Linked DNA regions of Oryctolagus cuniculus. The protein of the gene in region 6 interacts with the protein of the main gene of each other region in a pairwise test. Links are inferred from orthologs where the notes say so. Each region holds a gene or a part of one and is shown on either strand. Other genes may lie near its edges. The genes, in order: COBLL1, EHBP1, ANKRD24, JADE2, COBL and PACSIN1.

Evidence for each region.
Region 1: the proteins of PACSIN1 (region 6) and COBLL1 interact in binary tests that used the Homo sapiens proteins (3 or more experiments, as listed by UniProt). The link is inferred for Oryctolagus cuniculus from reciprocal best matches to the Homo sapiens genes PACSIN1 and COBLL1.
Region 2: the proteins of PACSIN1 (region 6) and EHBP1 interact in a two-hybrid assay, tested with the Homo sapiens proteins (2 studies listed by BioGRID and IntAct). The link is inferred for Oryctolagus cuniculus from reciprocal best matches to the Homo sapiens genes PACSIN1 and EHBP1.
Region 3: the proteins of PACSIN1 (region 6) and ANKRD24 interact in a two-hybrid assay, tested with the Homo sapiens proteins (2 studies listed by BioGRID and IntAct). The link is inferred for Oryctolagus cuniculus from reciprocal best matches to the Homo sapiens genes PACSIN1 and ANKRD24.
Region 4: the proteins of PACSIN1 (region 6) and JADE2 interact in a two-hybrid assay, tested with the Homo sapiens proteins (2 studies listed by BioGRID and IntAct). The link is inferred for Oryctolagus cuniculus from reciprocal best matches to the Homo sapiens genes PACSIN1 and JADE2.
Region 5: the proteins of PACSIN1 (region 6) and COBL interact in binary tests that used the Homo sapiens proteins (3 or more experiments, as listed by UniProt). The link is inferred for Oryctolagus cuniculus from reciprocal best matches to the Homo sapiens genes PACSIN1 and COBL.

What each region holds. Positions count from the first base shown.
Region 1 is NC_091434.1:76,612,792-76,616,865, reverse strand, and holds the start of COBLL1 (cordon-bleu protein-like 1), read right to left. Parts: upstream 2,801-4,074; 5' UTR 2,614-2,800; coding exon 2,604-2,613; intron 1,966-2,603; coding exon 1,845-1,965; intron 1,438-1,844; exon of another isoform or gene 1,220-1,437; intron 1-1,219.
Region 2 is NC_091433.1:139,946,101-139,949,600, forward strand, and holds part of EHBP1 (EH domain-binding protein 1), read right to left. Parts: intron 3,119-3,500; coding exon 2,994-3,118; intron 622-2,993; coding exon 483-621; intron 329-482; coding exon 222-328; intron 1-221. UniProt on the Homo sapiens protein: May play a role in actin reorganization. Links clathrin-mediated endocytosis to the actin cytoskeleton. May act as Rab effector protein and play a role in vesicle trafficking.
Region 3 is NC_091447.1:59,707,672-59,711,504, forward strand, and holds the end of ANKRD24 (ankyrin repeat domain-containing protein 24), read left to right. Parts: intron 1-774; coding exon 775-942; intron 943-2,602; coding exon 2,603-2,719; intron 2,720-2,812; coding exon 2,813-2,878; intron 2,879-2,995; coding exon 2,996-3,073; 3' UTR 3,074-3,333; downstream 3,334-3,833. UniProt on the Homo sapiens protein: Component of the stereocilia rootlet in hair cells of inner ear.
Region 4 is NC_091437.1:22,755,276-22,759,489, reverse strand, and holds the start of JADE2 (E3 ubiquitin-protein ligase Jade-2), read right to left. Parts: upstream 2,801-4,214; 5' UTR 2,786-2,800; coding exon 2,735-2,785; intron 2,610-2,734; exon of another isoform or gene 2,471-2,609; intron 2,307-2,470; exon of another isoform or gene 2,199-2,306; intron 2,071-2,198; exon of another isoform or gene 1,708-2,070; intron 1-1,707. UniProt on the Homo sapiens protein: Scaffold subunit of some HBO1 complexes, which have a histone H4 acetyltransferase activity. Acts as an E3 ubiquitin-protein ligase mediating the ubiquitination and subsequent proteasomal degradation of target protein histone demethylase KDM1A.
Region 5 is NC_091447.1:55,722,861-55,726,913, forward strand, and holds the start of COBL (protein cordon-bleu), read right to left. Parts: upstream 2,801-4,053; 5' UTR 2,543-2,800; coding exon 2,502-2,542; intron 1-2,501.
Region 6 is NC_091436.1:134,869,669-134,873,168, forward strand, and holds part of PACSIN1 (protein kinase C and casein kinase substrate in neurons protein 1), read right to left. Parts: intron 2,785-3,500; 5' UTR 2,724-2,784; coding exon 2,661-2,723; intron 1,945-2,660; coding exon 1,788-1,944; intron 885-1,787; coding exon 649-884; intron 249-648; coding exon 93-248; intron 1-92. UniProt on the Homo sapiens protein: Plays a role in the reorganization of the microtubule cytoskeleton via its interaction with MAPT; this decreases microtubule stability and inhibits MAPT-induced microtubule polymerization.

The DNA.
Region 1 (4,074 bases), on a different chromosome or scaffold from region 6:
TTCTCTCTCTCTCTAACTCTTTCAAGTAAATAAATCTTTAAAAAAATTTAAAAAGTATTAACTCAATTTCTGGACACCTGTGGGGATATTTTTGTGTAAGTGGGTAGGTTTGTTTTTAAAGATTTATTTGGAAGGCAGAGTTACAGAGAGAGACACACAGATACAGAAATATTCCATCTACTTGTTCACTCCCCAGATGGCCCCAACAGCTTAAGTCAGGAGCTTCATCTAAGTTTCCCGCGTGGGTGCTGGGGTCCAAGCACTTGGGTCATCTCTTCTGCTGCTTTCCCAGGTTAACATAGAAATGGACTGGAAGTGGAGTGCCAACCCCCTAAGTGGGTTTTTTTTTTTTTCAGTACCTTAACCTAATCCATTCCAAATCCACCAGTTCAATACTATCTTGTTTTGTGCTACCTGGATACATTTCAGTACTCTGAAAGCTGGTCCATCTTCAACTTACACAGCTCTGCAGCTCCAAAGACCTTGCTTTCATACTCATTATGTCTCCCAATGTGTTTCTTTCCTCGGATATCCTAATGTGAGGATCTATGACAATATCCACACAATGAGAAAGCTAGGGAAATGAGACAGAAGTCGACAGCAATAGGGCTATTTGCAGGAAGAAGACAGCCAACTGCAGCAAAATGAAAGAATTAATTCATACGCGACATGTTCCCTCTACGTAAGCACTATACAAATGTCTTTTAGCTTAGTCATGTTGCTTTGAGACTTTTCCATGTTTCTTCTCTACAACTGCTAGTGTTCGCATGGTCTCTGATGAACAAACATGCTGTGACTTGCTTCTAAGGAAACGCCTGTCATGTTCCAGGGAAAACTGACTTCACTATTCGGTCAGAAAAACTGCACAACTCTCATTCCTCGGTGTTACAAAGCAGATATTTTCTTTCCTCCACGTTTGTATTTCTCGAATGTTCATCTTCTCATCAGGACGCTCCTACGTTCAGATTAAGAAAGAACGGACATCTGGGTAGCGGGAACACTTGTAGGAAAAAGTTACAGGAATCAAAAGGGTTTCCCGCTTCAGAAGCCCAACGGGCTTGCCTGCTACGCCTGCGCTATTGACCAAGACCAGGGTTATTTTCAGTTCTCCTCATCTCCTGCAGAACTACCTGTTCTCCGGCCTGTTTACCCAACTGCTGGGCAAGGTGATGATTAGCATATCTGGCAGGAAGGCATGCTTCATTTAATATTAACTCACCATGTGACGGGCCCCTTCCCCTCCAATCTCTCCTCAAAACATGTGAGAAGAATAGTTGATTGCAATCTGCCTCCGCGCTCGGCTTTGGCACCCGCAATTGGCCACGGGCGCACACACCCCCGAGAGAGAGGCGAGCACCCCGCCCGCTCCCGGAACTGTCAGGCGGGCTGACAGCTGGCGCACCTTCGCGACGCCCTCCGAAAGCCCCTTCCTAACAGTCTCCTCGACACCGCTCCACCGCCCAGGCCCCTGCCCTTGAACAAGGAAACTTTTTTCCCTCTCTCTTCCTTTCTAGGGAGCTCGCTTACAGGTATCGTCCACCGCTCCAAGAGCTCCAACAAGGGGCTCTTTGTTATAGTCTTTGCTCCCGTACTCCTCACCCAATCCCTGGCAACCAGCTGGCCTTCCGCAACCAGTGCAGCCCCAGTGGCAAAGCCGTCCAACACTGCCCGAGCCCCCGGCCCGGGCGGCCTCCGGCAAGGCCGGGAGGACGCCGCCTCGCCGGCCGCGTGTAGGACGGCCGGGGAGTCAGGCCGCTGGCAGAGCAGCGAGTCGCCAGGCAGGTGAAGCCGGCGAGGCGTCGGTGCCCTCGCGGGCGAACGGCGGCGCGGCGCTCGGGGCTTACCCTGAGGCGGCGGCGGCGGGCGTCGGGGGCGCCGCCGGGGCGTCGTGCGCGCTGGGGGCTCGGCCGTCCATCGCCCTGCGCGGCGCTGCGCGGGCTCCAGCTCGGAGGCGGCGCGTCACTGCTGGGGTGGGAGAGGCGGGAGGTCAGGGCGGGCCGCGCGCCTTCCCGGGGCCGGCCGCGCGTCGAGAGCCCGCCCGGTCCGCGTGAGCGTCCGGCCGGCCCGCCTCCCGGGTGCGCTTCCACCTGCGGGTCCGGCTGGGTGCCCGCGGGCGCCGCCGCTGCCGCCGTGGCGGCAGGTTCTAGCGGGCTCCAGCGGCAGCGGCGGGAGGCGGCGCTGCAGCCCCCGCCCCGTGGGGTTTACTGGGTAGCCAGTTGGCGCCTCTCGGGGAGGGAGTGGAGCTGCCCCGGCTGCCGGAGGAGGAGGTGGAGGAGGAGCGGTGCCGGGCGCGCAGGCACGGCCGCCACGCCGGCAGCGCACCCGGGGCTCCAACGGCCGAGTTGGAACAAACACAATGCCCTGGTAAAAGTTCTCCCGAGGAGAAGTTGGAAGGGCGAATCTCTCTTTTCCCACCCAGGACTCCTACTTTCTTTTCAAAGGGAGACAGTGGCTCGCCTGTTCTCTCTCGCAGCTTCCTCTCCTCCTCTTCCCGCCCCCGGCCTGCGCCCTGGCAGCTTAGCTCTCAATCCAGGACTTGGACAGAGAGAGCCAGCGCTCCCCGGAGCTCGGTCCCGCGGGCTTCTCCCCGGCCGCGCACTCACCCTGCCCCATGCTCTGGCCCGAGCTCGGGAACCAGCCGCCCGGCCGCCCAGAAGTGAGGACCAGCTCGGCGGCATCGGAGCGAGCGAGGCAGCCAGCCGGAGAGAGGACCGGGGAGGGGGCGGGCGGGGAGCGAGTTGGAATTTCCTTCCCCAGGGTTTCGGGTCTTTGGGGACCGGCTAGGGAAGCCAAGCGGAAAGGTAGCTAGCTCCCTGCCGGAATGTTCCCGTTCCCACCGCTAGGGCCTGGGCTGCGGGAAGCCGGGCGCGCCCATACCGGACAGGTGGGGCAGGAGGGGTACCTGCCTGGGGAGGACCGGCCGGCTGCGGAAGTGCGAAGAGAAACTCGTAGAACCCGGCCTGCAAGCTTGCCTGGCCTGCAGTCTGACCTTCGACAACCAGGACTGGGGCTTTTTGTGTGTGTGCTTCTTAACGTGACCTCTACGAATGATTGTGAAAAGCGTACCTGTGACACTGATCTTTCTAATCGGCAGCAGGTTTGAGCTTGCCTTGTCTTCGGAAGCATTTCTTACTTTCTTTATGCAGACCAACAACAGTTGTGACGTGAGGACTGGGCATTATTACATCTGATAACAATCCATAAACCTGGAGTTGAATGCTGGGGCTTATGCATTCACCTCTTGAAAGTTTTACAGGAATAGAAGAATCATGTAGGGACAGCCCTGTGCTTGTGTCCCACGTGCATACTGTTTAGATGATTCGCTACACCTGACAAACAGGTATATTTGCAGATCTCATTGAGATTCTCATCAGTGCCAGTTGTTTTAAGGTACAAGCTATTTCGGAGGATCCAAATGCCTGCTTTCAGAAAATGTGAAATTAAGCAGGTGACTTAACCAGATAACTTAAAACCTACAGTCTAAAAATAAAATCTTTTGGAATCAACTGATAGGTCTTATAGGAAGGAGTATCTAAGGGAGAGAAGAACCTCTGCTATAGTATTAACATCAAGCAACAAAATCTGTTAGCCACTTCATCTTTGTGGGGTAACATTTGCTGAGTATTAGAATTAAATTGATATTTAGAACTAATGCTTAACTAGGTATTTCTGTAGTTGTTTATCGTAGCAACCGGATTGCAGAAATTTAGTTTAAGTATCTAGTAATAGGCCGTTTGCCTATAGGGAAGCATTGGTGTTTGTTGCTTTCAGTGTGGAGTGCCGTCTTTTCAGTGCATCTATGGGAAGAAAAAATGTGGCTTATCTGCATTACACTTTGGAACCATATCATGAAAACCTCCTTTTAAATAAGTAATATTATCAAAGCAGTTCACTTAAATGCCTCTGGATTTTAATCTTGAAACAATAACTCAAGTTAAACAATTTCATGAATCATTTATGCCTCTAAATGAGTAGCGTTTACAGTTGCTTGCACAATGATGCAAATGTTGAGTAACAGTGAAACTACTTAATGTCTATAACTTTCAATCACAGGATCAAGACTAAAACTTTAAT
Region 2 (3,500 bases), on a different chromosome or scaffold from region 6:
GCTGGGGCTGTGGAACTCTGAAAAATTCATTTTTTTTTATCTGACAATTATCACCACACTGCAGACTAATTCAACAGTGCACCCCTCTCACTCTGCTTTGAATGCACTGGAGATTGACATCTTAAAAAACCTAACATCTCATTTTAACAAATAAAGGCACTATTTCCACATACAGTTTGGAATTATCAGCAATCATGAAACCACACAAAAAATTAATATACATTAAGCACTTCATCTTCTGATGGCTTCCTCTGAGTTTCAGTTATCGCCGCCTTCTCCTCATTTCCTTTCTTTGTATCTTCCTGTATTGATCTCTGCCTTTTCATTTCTTAAAAAAAGAAGAAAGACATGTAAAATTATTATAAAGCTTGATATTTATATATTGAAATTATGGATTTACAGCATCAGCTTTTTAATATATACACATTGTTAAGAACTGTTGAATCATAAGATGGGAAAACATTTTTTAAAAGTGTTCCTACCTGGTCTGTTCTCAACATATTGACTAAAAGACTGAAGTTGAGTTTTTCTGATTGTAGAATCCTTGCTGAACACAACAGGATTTCTAAAACGTTCTGTTGCTTTTTGTAATCGTTCAGTCCGGAGATCTTCAGTGCCATTCTGAAAGTAAAACAATACACACTTCTAGAGTCCTGATCTTATAAATGTGAAATTACACATTCAGAAGACATTTAAGACAATGCAGACTTTGAAATTTAAAAACTTTCTGAAAGAAAAGTGATTTTCCAAATAGCTCAACTGTAAGTTCCATTGTCTGTAATGAAAAACTTTGGGACTCATGGTTTAAACTCTTGATAACTTTGATACAAGATCGTACAAACTCTGTGTCTTCTCCTGGTGATTGGTATCTTTTAAAAGCTATGTTGCCTCCTGTTCTCCCTACTATTCTGCCCCATCAGCTTGTACAGCCCCACAGACTTGTATGACAAGAAGAAATAGTTTCTAATTTTATGCCCATTGAGATAAACCACTAATGCTGGATGAAGGCTAAAAGGTAGGATTATAATACTACCCCACTGAACTGCATTTCATCAGCTATAACTTTCCAAAGCCAGATTTGTAAGTAAGCCTTTTACAGCTAAGGAAACTACAATTATCTTTTCCGGAGCTTCCTATGTTAATACTGGTAACAAATTCAAATGGTTCTATCAACAAGAAATATCCCAGAAGACTGAACCATTGCAGTGTGTGGAAGCTGCAGATACCGAGGTGCTGTGTACCAAACAAATATTTCATTTTATACCTAATCTTTTATTATTTTTATTAAGTGTTTTGAAAGTAAATAGGGAAAGGCTAAGATGCATGACTAATAGCTAAGCCTGCTGAATGCTGAAACTGGTTATCAAAAGCTACCAAGACTTTGCCCTTCCTCTGCATTGAGACAATCAGTAATGAGGGAGCCCTCCAATGGCCTATTCTCTAGCCTCAAGGAGGCCTGGGATACAGAATCCTCAAGGGAAGGTAACAGTTTATCCTTTTCCACAAACACAGAATGCCTCATTTATAAACGTGTAAACTGCATTTTATTTAAAAAATAAATAAAAACCCAAATCAATGCTGAAAGCTTCAAGAGAACAGATGGAATCTATATGTTCTTTATAAGCATTTTCAAAATCTTAACTGAAAAGATTCCTACAAAGGCAATCCGTTAAAAGCATAATTTTGTTGAAATAACTTTAAAAATTATAACAGGAGATTTTTAAAGAAGCAAAATCAATTTCATCTAGATAAGTGATTAAATCATATTGGAACTACCTCATTTTTAGTTATCTGACATACACATGCACACACACATATATCATCAACGTCATTCTTATAATATACTAGCTATGTAGTTGAGAAAGAAACATCTTTTTTTAAAAAAAAGTGTGAATTCTACTATTATTATAATAACTATCTAACAGTCTAAAACTCAAGTCTACCAAAATAAACAAACATGGCTAAATTTTTTTTTAGGCCTGGCAACATGCTAAAATATCAGTGTGATTAGCCAGCAAATCCCATCTTAAGAAACCTTTTTATGACTAGGGACTTCTGCCACTTTACAAATGTATTCCTCTAAACCCACTAATTCAGTTAGCCTTTTCAATCCATTGTATTATTCTTAGGCCAGCTTCATTCTGCATTAAATCCACTGCAGAAAGCTAAATTGAACGCAAAAAACCAGACCTGATCCAGGCTTCCTTTTGTTCAAAGATAGAGACCCAAAGTCCTCTGGTGCTGCCACACACTTTCATCACCAATTTATAGAAACCGACAATATACGGGAAAAGCAATGAAAGTCATTGTTTTGAGACTTCAAAGCATCTCTGTGTCAGGGGAAGGAAATCCTTTCAGTCAGCAGGGCAGTCCCCATAGTCCGCAGGTGGGTGAAAAGTTATACAGGACTGGAAGTGCCCTAAAGCTAGAGAAATACTAAATGCTACACGGTGTAGAAAGGACGGGGGAGTATGTGGTGGTGGTGGTGGGGATAATATAAAACAATCTCATAATGTAGCATTTTTGCTATAATGATAAATAAGGTAAGATTCATAATGATACAGAACACATGGAAGTATCTTAAACATTTGTATTTAATCATGTCACCATCTTTAGGTATGATGTTTTTGTGAAAATTACAGCCATTCTAGTTCATCTAAACAGGTAGAAGGATAAGGACGATGGAAAAATGCTAGAGTTTGCTTAGCAATATTCTTCTTGGCAAAATATACAATATACACAGACTTCAATAATAGTTTCTACAAACCCTCTGCTTTTACTCAAACTAGCACTCTGACATAGTGGTTTCTTTGAAAAATAGCAAATGAATACTGACTGCCATATTGATATTTAATTATTGGTTATTTAATAAAAAGTTTTACATCTTAATTTTAATGCAAAGAATTAGGGTGAAACTTTTTAGGATTATAAAGGGCTAGCAGAAAGTAGAATATAAAGATATGGAGCTAAATGTTTTTAAAAGTCAGATTTACCTTAATGTCTTGATCCGAGGTCTCAGTTACAGCTTTCTGGGCAGCACTGGAGAATGAATTTGCCACCTGTGGCTGAGCTTCTAGGAGCTTCTTTAGCTTCAAGTCCACCAGCTTACTATTTTGTTCTGTTAAATATACAAATACCATGAATAACAGAGTAGATGTATTTATATGTATAGGCTATCAATTTTAAGTGATATCACAAAATATTATATTTCAAAAGAAAGAAGAAAAGGACATTAGGATTTTGAAATAACTAATCAGACTATACACATGCAGAATTCTTAAACCTATGCCTCTATGTTATATATGAGGAGACTTCAAGAAGTTTGTAGAAAATGGAATTAAAAGATGAATTTACTTTGGTGAAAAGAAATTGGTATTTGGGGCTGCTGCTGTGGTGCAGCAGGTTAAAGCCCTGGTCTACAGCGCCAGCATCCCATACAGCCACTGGTACAAGACCAGGCTGCTCCATTTCCAATGCAGCTCTCTGCTATGGCCTGGGAA
Region 3 (3,833 bases), on a different chromosome or scaffold from region 6:
GAGCAGGGACCACGGGGCGTCGACCGAGCTCTGGACTTGGTCCCTTCCCCCATGCCGCCGGGGCAGGTGCGCAGGTGCGCTGGTGGCCCCCGGGCGCTGCGGTCTCGCCTGGAGCCGCTGGCTCTCGGCCGTAGGTCGCTGTCCAGGGAGGGTCTCTGGGGTCCCTGGAGTGTCTTACCATGCTCAGATTTCTGCCTAGTTTTATCTGAAAAGGAGAGAGAGAGAGAGAGAGAGAGAGAGAGAGAGAGACCTTCTTCCCACTGGTTGTTCACTCCCCAAATGTCCACCACAGCCGGGGCTGGGTCGGAGCCTGCCGCCCCCAGGTGGGTGACCCGAGCTGTCCCGGGGCTGCCCTCCCGGGAGCTGGAGCCCAGAGTGCAGCCAGCGCCAAAGCCACTTTTTTGCACCCTGTTTGTTTCTCGTCCAGCTCTTTTCTTTTGCAACTCCAATCTGCTCCAGAGACCGCGTTCGCTCGCTTTCTCCCACCACCGCCCGCCCCGGGACACAGGGGGCTGTTGGCGCTTTATATACAAACGGGGAAACTGAGGCAGGGACTGGCTTCCCAGCCCTTGGGCCAGAGAAGCAGGACGGGCCGGCCGGCATGCTCAGGGGGGCGCCAAGCCCTCCCGGGCACTCTGGGTTTGGATGTCCCCTGGCCGGAGCAGAAGCGTCAGAAACTCCCGGGACCGTGATCCCAAGGCGTCACACGGGGGTCCGGGTCGCGGGGGCCCGGGGGTCCGGGTCTCTGAGCGTCACTCGGGGGCCGGGCCGCAGGTGCAGCGGGAAGCCTTGTTCATGAAGAGCGAGCGGCACGCGGCGGAGGCCCAGCTGGCCACAGCGGAGCAGCAGCTGCGAGGGCTGCGCACCGAGGCGGAGAAGGCGCGGCAGGCCCAGAGCCGCGCCCAGGAGGCCCTGGACAAGGCCAAGGACAAGGACAAGAAGGTGGGCGTCCTCTCCCTCGCTCGGGCGCGGGGTGAGGGGCCCTGCTGGGGGTCCCGGACACCACCCAGTGTCCCACTGTGGCACCGTGACGTGGATCGAGCGCCGACTGTGTACCGTCGGCCGTGGGTTGGTGCCAGGTTCTCCCCAGACCCCCACCCCCCGTCCCGTGTGGAGGCCTGAGCACAGAGAGGTTGGCCTCTTGCCCAAGGGTGCACAGCATGCGCTGCTCCCAGCAGGTTGGTTTCTGCTTTTGTTTTTCAAGATTTATTTATCAGGGGCCGGCGCTGTGGCGTAGAATGGTACGTGTGCTCCCTGCTCCAGCGCCGGCATCCCACGTGGGCGCCGGTTCGAGTCCCGGCTGCTCCACTTCCGGTTCAGCTCTCTGCTGTGGCCTGGGAAAGCAGTGGACGATGGACCAAGTGCTGGGGACCCTGCACCTGCGTGGGAGACCCGGAGGAAGCTCCTGGCTCCACCCTGGCTGTCGCGGCCATCTGGGGAGTGAACCAGCAGATGGAAGACCTCTCTCTCTCTCTCTCTCTCTCTTCCTCTCTAATTCTTTCAAATAAATGAATAAATCTTTTAAAAAAATTATCAGTTATTTGAAAGTCAGAGTTACAGTAATAGGGAGAGAGAGAGAGAGAGAGAGGTCTTCCATCCGCTGGGTCACTCCCCAGATGGCCACAATGGCCTGGGCTGACCCAGGCTGGAGCCAGGAGCTTCCTCCGGGTCTCCCACGCGGGTGCAGGGGCCCAAGGACTTGGACCAGCATCCACTGCTTTCCCAGGCCACAACAGGGAAACGTGGAGCAGCCAGGACTCGAACCGGCGTCCATAGGGGAGGCTTAACCCGCGGAGCCACAGCGCCGCCCCCAGGTTCTGTTCTTAAATGATGCGGGCGACAGCGACCTCTAGCGGTGACGTCAGGCATTTTCATGCATTCCTAATTTCCCGCCGTCCTGGGAAGACGCGGGGTCGAAGCCGGGAGCCGGGAGCTCCATCCGGGTCTTCATCCCCATTTCCCAGGTGAGCCAACCGAGGCTCCCGGGGGTGAAGGCAGTGGATCGCGGGCCGCACCCAGCCCCCGGCCCTGACTCTGTGGCCTTGGTCACGTCGTGCGACCTCTGCCCGCGGCCGTGGTTCCTGTCCCGTGGGGGCGGCTCCCCTGGCCCCTGCGGCCGTCCTGGGCTCTGCAGGCCATGGAGCAGCCCCAGCCGTCCCAGACTCCGCCCAGTGTCCCCGGGGGGGGGCACAGCAGTCCCTGATGAAGATCCTGGGATCTGCCGTAGGAACGAGGCCCAGCACTTACTGAGTCCTGCTGTGTGCCCCAGTGCAGGGTGGCGAATCTCCCCCATTTCACAGACGGGGATAGTGAGGCTCGGCGGGACCCCCACCCCCACCCCGTTCCGTGATCAGCTTAGGAAGAGGAACAGCAGGGTGACGCCCCCAGCCCCACTGTGCCGGGCTGCCTGGGGTCCGGGGAGCCCATGGGGGAAGGGGCAAGTGTAGGCGGCCAGAAAGCGCCGGGTTCTCCCACCTGCGGGGCAGACAGCAATGGCTCTGCCGGCGGGAGGCAGCTGGCGTGGCCGCGGCCGGGCCAGGGTGGACGCCAGGAGCCAGCCCTGCGGCTCCGGGCGCCGGCTGACAGCGCCCCCTGCCGGCAGATCACGGAACTCTCCAAGGAGGTCTTCAGTCTCAAGGAGGCGCTGAAGGAGCAGCCGGGCGCCGCCGAGGTGCAGGCTCTGCGCGACCAGGTGGTGGCGCTGCAGCAGCGCCTGCAGGTGCGGGCTGGGCCGCGGGGCGGGGGCGGGGGCGCAAGTCCTCGGGCACCCGGCGCCCCCGCTTCCCTGAGCGGCCTACTCTGTGCCCCACAGGACGCCGCCAGGGACCGCTGTGCCGTGGTGGCCTTGTACAGGAGCCACCTGCTCTACGCCATACAGGTGAGCCCTCCCCGGGCCCGCCGGCCTCTGTGCTCGCTGGGGTTGGGGTGCGGGTGGGGGAGGGGCCGCAGCAGGTGCACCCAGGGCCGCCGGTCCTCTCTGCTCCCTGCTCCTCAGGGTCAGATGGACGAAGACGTCCAGCGAATCCTGAGTCAGATCCTGCAAATGCAGCGGCTGCAGACCCAGGGCCGCTGAGGCTGCGCCCGAGGGGCCGCCCGCCCCCGCCCCCGCCCCCGCCCCCCGCACCCTCACGGGGCCCCTGCCCCCTCCAGGCCGCCCCGCGGGGCCCCTCCCCAACTTTTCTGTAGCTGGCTGCATCGCTCGGAGAATCTGTGACAAGTCCCATCCCCCCCCCCACTGCCAACCCGCCCGTGTCGCCCCTCGTCACGTCCCGGGGACGCCCCTCCCCCGGGAATAAAAATGCACCGTGCACAGCTCCAAGGCTGGTGGCCTGCGTGTGGGAGCCTGGGGGAGGAGCCCCGCCTGGGTCTCCCGCGTGGGGGGGGGGGGCAGGTGCCAAAACTGCGAAGCTGGAGTCAGGAGCTGGGACTCGAACCCAGCACCTCGGTTCCGCCAGGAAGGCGCGCTCAGTCCCCACCTGCCCGGGACAAACCCCGGCTGAAAGCCCGGGGGCCTTCCTGGAGGGGAGGCCCCCTGAGGGTCCAGCCTGGCCTAGCCCCGGGGTTTCCTTGGGTGTCCAGCAGCCGCGAGGCAGGTCCCCGGCTGTCCCCGTCACATCACAACCTCTGTGTGTCGTGCCGGGGCTGCCCCTGCTGGGGCCCGCGTGCCGGTGTCGCTGGGGCCGGCATCTCCGGGGCGGTGAACGGGCGCGTGCCTCTCGCTGCTCTAGGGGTCCCCGCCGTGTTCGTGTGGTCTCTCCCTCTCTTCCTCTCTCTCCCTCCCTCTCTCCCTCCCTCTCTCTCTCTCCCTCCCTCTCCCTCTCTCCCTCCCTCCC
Region 4 (4,214 bases), on a different chromosome or scaffold from region 6:
CCCCACCAAGCAAACTTCCTCGGTCAATTATTCGCCCTCTTCGGATCAAAGCCTGTTTTTGCTGCCTGTGACCCCAAAGGCAAACAGCATCTCTCAAACAGAAAGCCTTCCTCCCTGGCCGGGTTGGCTTATTACTCATCCCTTCCCCGGATTCTGTTGTGATCTGCCTCCTCTGGCTGTGCCAACCGGCCTCTGGACCACGGGACAGGAGACAAGCTGGAGGCACCCTAGGAACCCAGGAAGAAGCAGGGCCAGGCGGACTGGCAGTTCCCCGTTACTGGGAATCATACCAGGGAAGGGGGGACAGACTGCCACTCTGGGAGGAGGGGCCCAGGCCTGGGTTTTCATGTTAAGGGGGGGAATACTGGCGGGCTGCTTCTCTGGGAGCACGTATCAGGGATCCTCCTGGTTCCAACCAAAGCAAGGACACAGTTTCCCTCCCGCCGCCGCCCCAGTGCCTCCCTGGCTCCTCTGGCCCCGCTCTGGATCCCGAGCAATGCCTTCCACGATCTCCCTGCAAACTACCCCGGGACAAAAAAAACTTCGTGCCTCGGAACCGCGCTGATGAGCCCAGCCCTCAGCCCGGGGCGCCAGGTGCCGGCGCGAGGTCCGGGAAACTGCAGAGGCCCAGAGGTCCGGCCGCAGCGGAGCCCCGGGCTCGGGGTACAGGGCCTGGAGTCCCTCCCCCGCCTGCAGCCCCCTGCACGCGGCCTGCAGCCACGCTGGTGAGAAAGTGCCCGGGCCGGCTGCAGCGGCCTGACGCGCCTCCAGCCCGCCCCTGGAGGCCAGCCGCGGGACCGCAGGCTGGAGGCGCGCCGGCGTGATTCCGACCGCGGGAGCCGGGAGGAGGAGCCGGAGGTGGCTGCGGGGGGCTCCGGCCCAGGCCAAGGAAGAGCAGGAGGCGGTTCGGGCCGGGGGCGGCGCCGGGAGGTGGGTGGGCTGGATGCCCGGGGCGGGGCGGGGGCCCGGACGGCCGAGCCCCTGGGGGGTGGGAAGGGGGAATAGGATTGGGGGGGGCTGGGCCTCTGGAGGCGAGGAGGGGGAAGCCTTGCCGCCCGTCTCGCAGGCATCCTTATGCTCCGACCGAGCCGGCCCCTTCCTCCCCGGGTCGGGAGAAGAGGGCGTCTCGGGACCCGAGGATGGGCGGGAAGGGACCTGGGGGAACCACGAGCCTGCACCCGGGCGGGGAAGCGGCGGGCGGGAGCCGCTCCGCAGGCGCAGGCGAGTGGGTGGGAAGCAGGGAGGGAGCGGGAGGAAGGAGGTGAGGCCGGGAAGATGCCACTGCCGGGGGCGGGGCGGCGCCGGGGATCCGGGCCGAGGGACTGCAGCAGCGCTTGGTGGGGGCGGGGGCTATCGTGTCACTCCCCGGGGCGTCAGGTGTGCGCGTCCCGGGCAAGGGCCCACACTCGCCCGCGTCTTCCCTGCACCCCCACCCCCAGGGCGCAGGGGCGGAGGCGGCGGGCCGGGGTCTGCGGAGCCGTTCCCGGGGCGGGACGCGAACCGGCAGAGTTGGGAGAAGGTAAACAAGGGCCACGCCCCCTGCCGTCGCCCCGCGGGCGCGCACCCGCCGCTCCGGCCGCCGCCGGTACATTTCCACTCGCCCAGCGCCTCACCCCCGCCGGACTCCCGCGCGGCCCCGCAGCGGGGGATGCCCCCGACCCCAGCCCGCGCCCCGGGCGGCGGGGGCTGCGCGTCCTCCCCACTCACCTGGCAAGGGCGGCCCCCGCCCCTCCAAAAAAAAAAAAACTGTGTCTAATTTGTGCGGAGCCTCCGAGCCCAGGAGCCGAGCATGCTGCCCCCGCGTGCAGCGCCCGCGCGCACCCAGCCCGGAGAGGGGGCGACAGGGCGGAGGCGGCGGCCCCCGGAAGGTGTCTGGGACCCGACCGGCTGCACGTGAGCCCAGCGCGGGGTCATGTGCACCGGCTCAGCCCGGTTCGGCGCCCGGACGTGCTGCGTATCAACAAAATGAAACTCGGGGCGACAGGAGGGCAGCTGGCTCCGGGTCCTGCGCGCCCCCGCCCGCGGCCGCGCGACCTCTCCCCCCGCCTCCCCGCGCCCTGCTCGCGCCGCAGCCCCTCCGCCCGGCCGGAGCCCGCGGGGCAAGTTGCGGCCCCGGCGCGCCCCCGCCCGCCCGCGCCCCCTCGCCGGCCCGGGGGCGCTTTGCCGCAGTCATTAATAAAGGAGGTCGCCAGGCTCACCCTTCCAAAAGTTGTTGCTGCATGCGCCCCCGCCAGCCTCCCCGCACTGTACTCTTAAAACACGACTGACCAACATGCGCAATCTCTCTCCCCTGTGCTGTGCATCCCCCCCCCCCCCGCGCGCGCGCTGGCTTCCTAGAACAGGCAGCCAGCAGGAGAGAGAGGGAGCGAGCGAGCAAGAGCGAGCGAGGAGCGCTGGCAGATCTGTTGCAAAAACACAAAATAACGCCGTGGAGATGCGCAGGGCCCATCCGCCGGGGGCTGCTGCTTACCTTGCTGCGCGGTGCCCTCCCGAGGGGCGCTGCCCTCGGCTACGCGCCGCAGCGGGGACCGGTGCGGGAACGATGCTCCCGAAACCAGGAGCTCCCGGGGCCGGCGCGGGAGGGCGGGGGGCGCGCATCCATCCGGGGTCGCGGCGAGGGAGGCGGCCGGGCCCGCGGCGTCCCCGGCCCCTCGGCCCTGCCGGGGACGGGCAGCCCGCCGGACCCGAGCCGGCGCCGCTAGGAGTGAGTGCAAAGTAACTCCATGGACGCTACTCGGCCCCCCCAAAAATACCCTCCAACTGCGATGGCCGCGGTCGGCACCATTCACCAACCCCCTGTGTATGTTTCTGTTTCTTTTTAAACCAAGACTTCCTTGTGATCTCTTTAGAAAAAAAAAATGTGTTGGGGTGGGGGTGGGGTGGGGGCGGGCAGGAGGAGCGAGAGAGGGGGAGTAGCCACTTTTTTCTTCTGCGCTCGGATCTCCGCTCCCAACACCCCCGCCGCCGCCCCCCGCCCCCCGCCCAGTTGCTGGGCTCCGCGGCGGGTCCAGGTAGCGCTGCGGGCCCCGGGGGCGCGCGCCCTGGCCGCCCGCGCGCCGGGCCCCGGCTCCCCGCGGACTCCGGGGCGCCCCCAGCCCGCCCTGTCCCCGGGGCCGGGCCCGTTCGGCGGCTGCGCCCGTGCAAGTCCCGTCAGGTCCGCTCACACCCCGCACACTCACACGCGTTCCCCGCCCCTCCACGCTCTCGCTCACACTTTCTGCTCACACCCCGCCCCCTTCGCGCCCGAGACCCGGGCGGCGCCCCCCGCAACCCTAAAAAAAAAAAAAAAGCTTATACTTAAAAAAATCTTTTGGCGCCATATTAATGACGTACTTAAAATTTGCCATTTCTCCCTGCGTCAAAAAGACGTTTCTTTGCAAATAACAGCCTGGAGGCGACACTCGCGGACGGAACGAGACTCGCACAGCACCCCGCCCCCCGGGGCTCCGGCGCCGGGAGACCCTCGCCCGCGGCCCTGTCTCTGAATCGCCGGTTTTAAAACGCGAATCACATAAATCGCGTGGCGTTTCGCAGCGCCAGAAGTGAGCAGAAAGTGCTGGCTGGAGCGGAGGGGAGGGGCGCGCACGACTCTGGGGGAGGGGGCGCGGCCCTCCCCCCCCTCGCCCGCACCCACGCCAAATGGAAACTAACGTCCCGGGCGGGGGACACTGGAGCTCGTGGGCGACCTCCGGGGGACGGGGGCGGTCCGCAGTAAGGGTCCCTCGCGGGCTCGGCGCCCCCTCCCCCCTCTCGGGTGCCTCCTGGCGCCCGGCGCTGCCCCGCATTTCCGGGGGGCGGGGAACGCGGTGGTGGGTGGGTGGGTGCGCGTCCCGGCCCCCGGCAGGAGTTTGCCCCGGAGCAGCCCCCCCTGCTTGTGCCTCCCGCTCCACCGAAGGGGTTAAAAACCGAGGGGCAACTTCCAGGGGCTGGCACTTGGCGAGGCGGCGGGGCGCCCCTCTCCCCACCCTGCGCCGCCGCGCCCCTCCTCCTCCGGCTCCACTTCCCGACTTGACCTTGTGGTGCACAAACAGTGCGCTCGGATCCTCGCAGTTTCTGGAAGAGGAGCCTGGGCTCGCCAGGCGGCTCGCCGGCGGTGGCCGGGCCTTGGGTGCGTTCCCGGAGTCGCGGGCCACACCCACCCTGCCCGCTGCGCCCGCCGCGCTCACCTTTCTCTCGAGGAAGGGGCAGGGCCGGCCTCCCGCATGGGGAGGGGA
Region 5 (4,053 bases), on a different chromosome or scaffold from region 6:
ATTTTAAAACTTCACCCAAAGGCCATTGTCTTGGTGTTCTAGAATATTCTATGAATTGCGACGCTTTGGTTGGGCTCTAAGACTCCCTAAAAGTGAAATCAAGTCTGACTCATTGGCTTTTGCACACGCAGCCTCCTCCCTAAGCCAGTCACAGTCACTGTTTTAAGGACATCACCGACACAAACCTAAGAAAATTTGCATTTGTGTCCTGAACAAAGAGCGTTTTAATCAGAGCCACAGCCAGGGAATTCACATGCAGCGGCCCCTTGGTGCCTCCAGGAATCCCCAGGCTGAGCTCTGCTCTGAGGAATCTCCTTAATTCATGCTATGCAGCAAGGCCACCGCACCTGCACCCCCCCCCACCCCCCCCCACCCCGTCAGCAAGGCCACCGCACCTGCACCCCAGCAGGGTACAAGGACAACTTGCAGAGCGCGACACTGTACCACTGCCCTGGTGCCAGGAACCAGACTGCCCGAGCCTGGACAGACCCTGCCTCACTCTCCCCACACTGCAGAGCCCATCCAGAGAGACTGCCCCCACCTCACTCTCCCCACACCAGAGCCCATCCAGAGAGACTGCCCCCACCTCACTCTCCCCACACTGCAGAGCCCATCCAGAGAGACTGCCCCCACCTCACTCTCCCCACACCAGAGCCCATCCAGAGAGACTGCCCCCACCTCACTCTCCCCACACTGCAGAGCTCATCCAGAGAGACTGCCCCCACCTCACTCTCCCCACACCAGAGCCCATCCAGAGAGACTGCCCCCACCTCACTCTCCCCACACTGCAGAGCCGATCCACAGAGGGGAAACAGAAACCCAGGACCCACTGGCAGGATCCCACGGCCACCAATGAGGGGCTGCGGCCAGGAACCTCACAGCCACACCCGTGCTTTATGGCAGGCGACTCACGCACGAGCTCGTTATATAAAACATTCAAGAGCCATTTCCTTCTCAGGCTTTGAACAAAGTCATGTGTTATGAAACTCACACTTGTCCGAAAAACTGAGCGTGGACTTTCTTCTTAAACGTTCGTCATTTTCTATATTCTTGCTGCTCTTTCACTGGGAGTATTGACAAGTGACGGATGAGACTGAGGCGGAGTCTGCCCACGTTTCTCCACACTCAGTGTGAGCGGAGGGAGGACGCGGAAGGCGCCGGTGCTAGCAAGGGCCTGGTTTTCCCACGGGACTCCCAGGGGAAGGCCCCAGGGCAGCCCTGGGGCTCCCCTCTCCCTCCTGCCATAGGGCTGGCAAGAGCCGGGGTCAGGATTTTACCCATACTCCTGGGATACAAGGTTGCCAGCCTCTTACATACTCTCCTCATATTTATTTATAAGGGGGTAGTGACAAACAATCCAGGCTCCTGAAATAGGCGCACTTCATCCAGGAAAGGTGACTCCCTGTCGAATTTCCCCACATTTGGAGATGCCCATTAGCATGAAAAAGGATTTCCTGTATTTATGTTCTTTGTGGGGATTTGTTAGTTCAAAGAGAATTACATAACAACCGCTAAGTGCACTGCAAAAAAAAAAAAAAAAGTTCAGCATTCCAGGGTCAGGATTATTTGATTTGTTAACCTGGCTCACTTTTTCCTGGCATTAAAGGGAGAATTTTTAAAAAAGAGACAGTTCCCAAACTCCCTGCACACTTGTGCGGACAGCGTGAGTCAGAGGGGCACAACTGTGAAAGAAACGTCTGTTGTCCCGGAAGCTGCGCCCTTCAAGGCCAGTTGCTCCGGCGGGGCCGGACCCACCCCAACCCCTCGTTCCATCGCCAGGACTCCCAGGGCGCCGGGGCCGAAGTCTGCGCGCCGCGGACACCCAAGGGCGCCGGGGCTGCGCGGGGCCCGCGGCCTGGGCGCCAGGCGCACCGCTCCACACGGCTGCGGATCCGGTTAAAGGGCACGTTTGTGCGTCCTGCAGTGGGGAAGTTCCTCCTTGTGCGGGGAGAAACCTGCCCAAGGCGCGGGATCCCTTCACGCCACGGCTGAAGGCCGCAAACCTACCCCGGAATCGCGGAGGCGGGGACGGCGGCGCTGCCCGCAGGTCTCGAGCGGGCTCCGCACCTCGGGCCGGCCCCACCTCTCGCACCTGCGGCCGTCCCAGGGCACGGAGGCCGGGGCGCGGGGCAGGTATCACGGAAAACCCGCAGATCCGCCGGCAGAGGCGCCTACACGGTGACCCCGAGTGCGCGGGGCCGAGGCGGCCCTCGAGGTCCCGGGACCCTCCCCTTCGCCACGCGGGGACGAGCGGCCCGTGGGCAGCTTCTGTGGCCAGGGAGGAGCGGCCGGAGCCAGGGGCCGCTGTCCCGCAGCCTCCCAGCCGCTCAGCGCAGACTCTCGGAGGGGTGAGGGCTGCACGGAGCCGGCGGGGGCCCTGCGCGCACCCAGCCCTGCGGAGAGCGCGCCCCGGCCGGGCCTGGCACGGTTACCTGGGCGACGACCCGGGCCCAAAGTACACAACGCCCCCCGCACCAGCTCCCCCGAAGCCCGCGGCTTACCCGGTGGGGGGCTTGGCCGCCGAGGCGCGCTGCGCGTCCATGGTACGGGCCGGCCGGGGCGCGGGCGAGCTCGGGCCCGGCCGAGTCAGGCGCTGGCCGCCGCCGCCGCCGCCCTCATTCACTTGTTCCGCGCTGACCCATCGTCCACCCACGCGAGGCCTGCGGAGGACAGCGGCCGGCAGAGAGCTCGGCAGGGGCTGGGAGCGTCCCAGGCGTGCGGGGAGGGGCCGGCGGCGGCGGCGGCGCGGGGCGGGAGCGCGGGGAGCCAGGTGCGCCGAGCTCGCCCCCGCCCCGCCCGCCCGCCGCGCCGCGCCCCCAGGAGCGCCGCCCCCGCCCCGCCCGCCTGCGCGCGCCCGCGCCCGCGCCGCGCTCCTGCCCTCCCCGCATGCGACCCGGCGAGGGTCTGCAGGCTCCTGGGCCCCGCGGCCGCAGCGGAGGTCCTGCCCCTGTCTCGGGACCAGGCAGGGGGTTCTGGGGTAGCCCGGCCCAGGTCGGGTGGGGCCAGGAGAGGGGAACCACCTGGCGTCCGGGGAGGTCCCGCGGGGGGAGCAGAGCCGAGCAGCCGCAGGTGGGGGTTCGAGGATGGGGCGCGGGGCAGGGGCGCCCAGGGCCGCGCTGTTTATCCGCGCATCAGGTGAGTAGGTAGAGTGGCTCCCAGAGGCGTCAGCGCGCCTGGGAGTTTGTTGGAAATGCAGCCAGGAGCCCTGGTCCGAGCATGGCCTGACTGCCGGCGGGAGCCCGGCGGGGATGTGCACCCAAGGTCCCTGGGCACGCTGTCGGCAGTTATGAAGCAGCAGCCCGTGGGCCCTGCCTCACCCGCACACACCCGCTGGTTCGGCCGCAACAAGGAGGCTCTGATCTCTACAAAGGGTAGTTCCTATCCTGGGGTCGGTGGCAGGCATAGAAGGCTCGGCAGCGACCCTCTGATTGGCCCAGATATCCAGGGGCCGCCTGGGCCTTGGTGGCTCTGATCCCGGCTTTCACAGGAGGCCGGAGACCAGCCCAGACCCACAGTGTACATCTTGCCAGGGCTGCAAGGCCCGGGGTGCACCGGCTGGCTCCCAGCCCTCCCACCCCTGCAGGCCCAGCCCCCAGGGTTTCACCTCTGCTCCTCTCCTCCATGCCAGCCTCTGCCAGCCCCTCAGCTTCCGTCCCCACCCCTGTCACCACCCAGGTGCCCAAGCACTTACATGCATGTGTGTATGGTCCCTTGTGTGTGTTACAGTGCTTATGTTTATAAAGAAAAATTAATGAGCGCCTGTGTAAATAGGTAATATGGGTGTGTGAATGGAGCATAGCACAGAAACCCAGAGAGGCTGCCTTCACCACACACAGCGTCCACCGCTTCCCCCTTGCTCTGCCGCCCTGACGGTGGTCTCCGAGAACCTTGGACTCGGGTCTGCTTTGTGATCACGGCCGGCCTCTGGTCAGTGCCGGGGTGGAGTTCGGGCTCTGTAAATGAGGACACCCTGTCTGGCTCCTCCTCCGCTGTGGGTGGCTGAGAGGCCCTCCCAGCCCTGGGGGCCCTCCTTGCTGTGGACACCACTGTGGG
Region 6 (3,500 bases):
TGCGGGCACCGGGGGCGGGAGATGAGACCTGGCCAGGCTTGCAGCCCCTAGCCCCCACCCCCTGCGCCCACCACCCGCAGCCCGGCCGGCACCTTCTGCACATCCTGCTTGCACTTGTCCACTTTGTCCTGCAGCTTCTTCTGCTGCTCCGGGGTCACCGACTGCTCCGTCTTACTGTTCATCTCGCGCGTCATGGCCAGCTTCTCCTCCTTGCAGGCCAAATGGTAGGCCTTCTTGGCTGCCTCCAGCTGTGGCGAGAGGGGGACAGGGCGGGCAGGGGCCCGTTTGGGAGCAGGAACAAACATGGTCGCCCATCGACTGCTCCTGCCTGCCGGCTCCCCAGGAGCCCTGAGACAGAGGAGGCCGGCCCTGGCTGCAGGGATGTGGGCGCAGGGCCCCCAGCCCTGGCGCGCTCCCAGCGTGGGAGACCCTCCTGAAGGTGGTGCAGGGTCAGCCCTCTGCTGTGCCCCCTAGTGTGCCCTTGGCCCATGGCTCTTTACCTTTCACTGGGCACTGTCTGCCCAGCTGTGGGTCTTTTTTCCCAGCAGAGGGCGGTGGACCGCCCACCCCACCCATAGACCCCTCCCTGGGAGCAGCCCCCTCGGTTCAGACCGCCCCTTCCGCCTCCGCCACCAGCGCCCATCGCACCTCCTTCATCTTCTTGGCCCAGGGTTTCTGGGCCTTGCGGAAGCCGTCCTCGGCCTCCTTGGTCTCCTTGAAGCCACCCATGATCTGCTTGTGGTAGGCGTCCTTCTGCCAGTTCTTGACCTTCTCCAGGTCCTCGTTCAGCAGGCTGTTCTTCACCTCCTGGTGCAGCTCACTCACCTTGTCTGCCTCGGTCATCATGGCACCCCAGGCCCGCTCCAGGCTGCCGTACTGTGGGCCTGAGCAAGCGGCCGCGGGTCAGGGCCCTCTATGCCCCGTCCCAGGGGCGCCCTCCTGCCTGCTCCTCAGACGCGTGCCCCTTCCTTCCCATGGCAGCACAGGTGCCCTCCCCTGCAATCCCTGTGTTTCTGTCCATCCTCTAGGGCCCCAGGACCCTACCATCTGCAGGGAGCCTGCTCGGAGTGCTCTGCCCGCACACGCCTCCCTCTGTGCCTAGTCCTTGCCTCCCGCGTCGGCTGGGTGGCCTGGATGGACCCCCTGAGCCTTCACAAACCCAGCACAGCTCCAGGCCCACAGCAGGAGCTCCCGGGAATGCTGGCTGAACGTACAACCCAAGAACCTGCTGGGGACAGGTGCAGGGGGCCAGCTCCATGCCAGGCACTGTGTGAGGCAACACGGGCCCAGCCCCTGCCCTCGTGGGGTTTGGCGTCTAGTCGGCGGTTCTGGATGTAGAGACCTGCCAGCCATTCGTGTGCGATTCCGGAGTGGGTGCTGGGCTGGCACAAACCACTGCCATCGTAAAACTGCGCAAGGGCCCTGCTAGACACTCTGGATTGGATAGCTGACCCATGGTTACACCAACCCCTGTTCTTAAGGGACACAAGAATTTAGGGGTGAAGGAGGGGTTGGTGGCTCCAACTTTCAAATGGCTCAGAAAAATACAGTGCCTGTCAGTGGCCAGACAGTGGAGAAATAAATGGGAATGGGTGAGGGTCGCGGGGTGGGGGTGTCTGTGCAGCCCTTGCAGCTTTTCTCGGCATTTAAAAATTATTTCTAAATAAAAAAGGGGTCTTTCTTTGGCCTTTTGTTCTTTTAATGCAACCTCAGGTTGTTGGAAGCAGAGATGCGTGGGGGTGCACGGGGATGGTGGGTGGGCAGGGGTGAGGTGCGGGGGGGGGCACCTTTCTCCAGGAGCTGGCGCCAGCGCTTGGCCCAGTCGGTGAGCTGCTGCGCGTAGGCCTTCTCGATCTTGGCGCGCTCCTGCACGCAGCTCATCAGGTCGTTGCACAGGCGGTGGCCGTCGTCGATGCGCTTCACCGTCCGCTTGTAGTTCCCCACCTGGCGGCCGAGCACCGGCGTCACTCTCGCTGCCTCCCCGACCCGGCGCGGCGCGGCCCGGCCGCCCTGGCCGCCGCGTCCTGCAGGGGGCGCCGCCACGGCCGGCCGCCTCCCGCGCACCACGCAAGGGGGCCCCGGGGCCCTTTAACTGGGGGAGGCCCCGGGCACCCGCGCGCTTTAGACCTCACCACCTCCACGCACCCGCATCCCACTTGAAACACAATTCCTCCGCTGCTACAAAATGAGAGGGAGACTTAGAATTTGAACTTGGCCCGGGAGGAATGATTGATGTGGCTCTCGTGAGCTCCATCCATTGTATTACATGGACTCATCTGAGCATCGAGTCGAGCCAAGGCTTCGTGACGTGTTCCGCAGACGTCTCATTAAGCACGTATTCATTTAGCTTCGCAGTTTTTGTGTTGGGTTTCTGGCTGTGGGGCCCTGAGAGCTCACTCCACCTCTGTGTGTCCACGGCACGGGGTGAGGGGCAGCGTAAGCTGTGAAGCCCCCGGATCTGCACCAGGGCCCTCTGGACACGGTGAGGAGGGGGCTGCCTGCACGGGGGAAATGCCACAGCACCCCTCTGCGTGCAGAGTATCCTACCCCCACCTCGTGGCTCTGGAGGGGCCCGGGGGGCTGGGGCAGAAGGCACGAGCTCACAGGGCAAGTGGGGGGTATGCGGGAGCCTCAGGACCTGGGGACCCTCAAAGCCTCACCTCCCAGAAGCTGTCGGTGGTCTCCTCCGGAGCCAGCGACGCCTCGTCGTAGGAGCCGGACATGGTGTGGCCGTGGGGGCGGACAGGAGTGGGGCTGCAGTCTGGAGGCTCAGCTGCTCATGGGCTGGAAGGGCAGGGGAGAGACCCCTGGAGGTGAGGCTGTGCCCCCATGCTCCAGTCCAGGCCTGCTGTGCGAGGGGGCCTCCACGGAGGGCCCTGCGCTGGAGCCGGGGCTGGCTTCCTGCTCGCCACCTCGAGGCTGCCAAGGCTCCTCTGTAGCACACTGCGCGCACCTCCCCATCTCTCCTCCATACCCGCCCCCCAGGTGCCTCCTCCCAGGGCCGGCCCCTACCCCTAGAACGGTTCATGGCTCCTGGACCCTCGGAGTCAGAAGCAAGGACCACGCACTTGCCCATGTGCGCTCGGCAGACACACACAGCTCCCAGGAGCCAGCAGTCGGGGCCTCGCCATGTGCATGCCCCGCACACAGTCCCCAGACCAACACTCTAGCTGGCCTTGCAACTCTGCCCCCTCAGACGGCTGCTGTGCTCTGGGGGGCTCCTACCCACCCCCTGCCCCCGTCCCCATCCATGCCCCAGCCAGAGCCCTGCACCAGGCCCAAAAGACCCTTCCAGGTCCCTGTGCTCACTCCTAGGCCCAAACCATCGCAGAGGCCCTGGTCTCAGCCCCTGAGGCCTGACGGAGCCGGGACCTAAGCGCCCCGGGAGGCTGACAGCGGCCCCTCCCACCTTTGGCCCAGGCTCGGCGCCTGCTCAGCTCTCAGGTCCGGGCCCCATAGATGCCCTCTGGCTGCCCTCTTGTCCAGCCTCAAAAATGCCC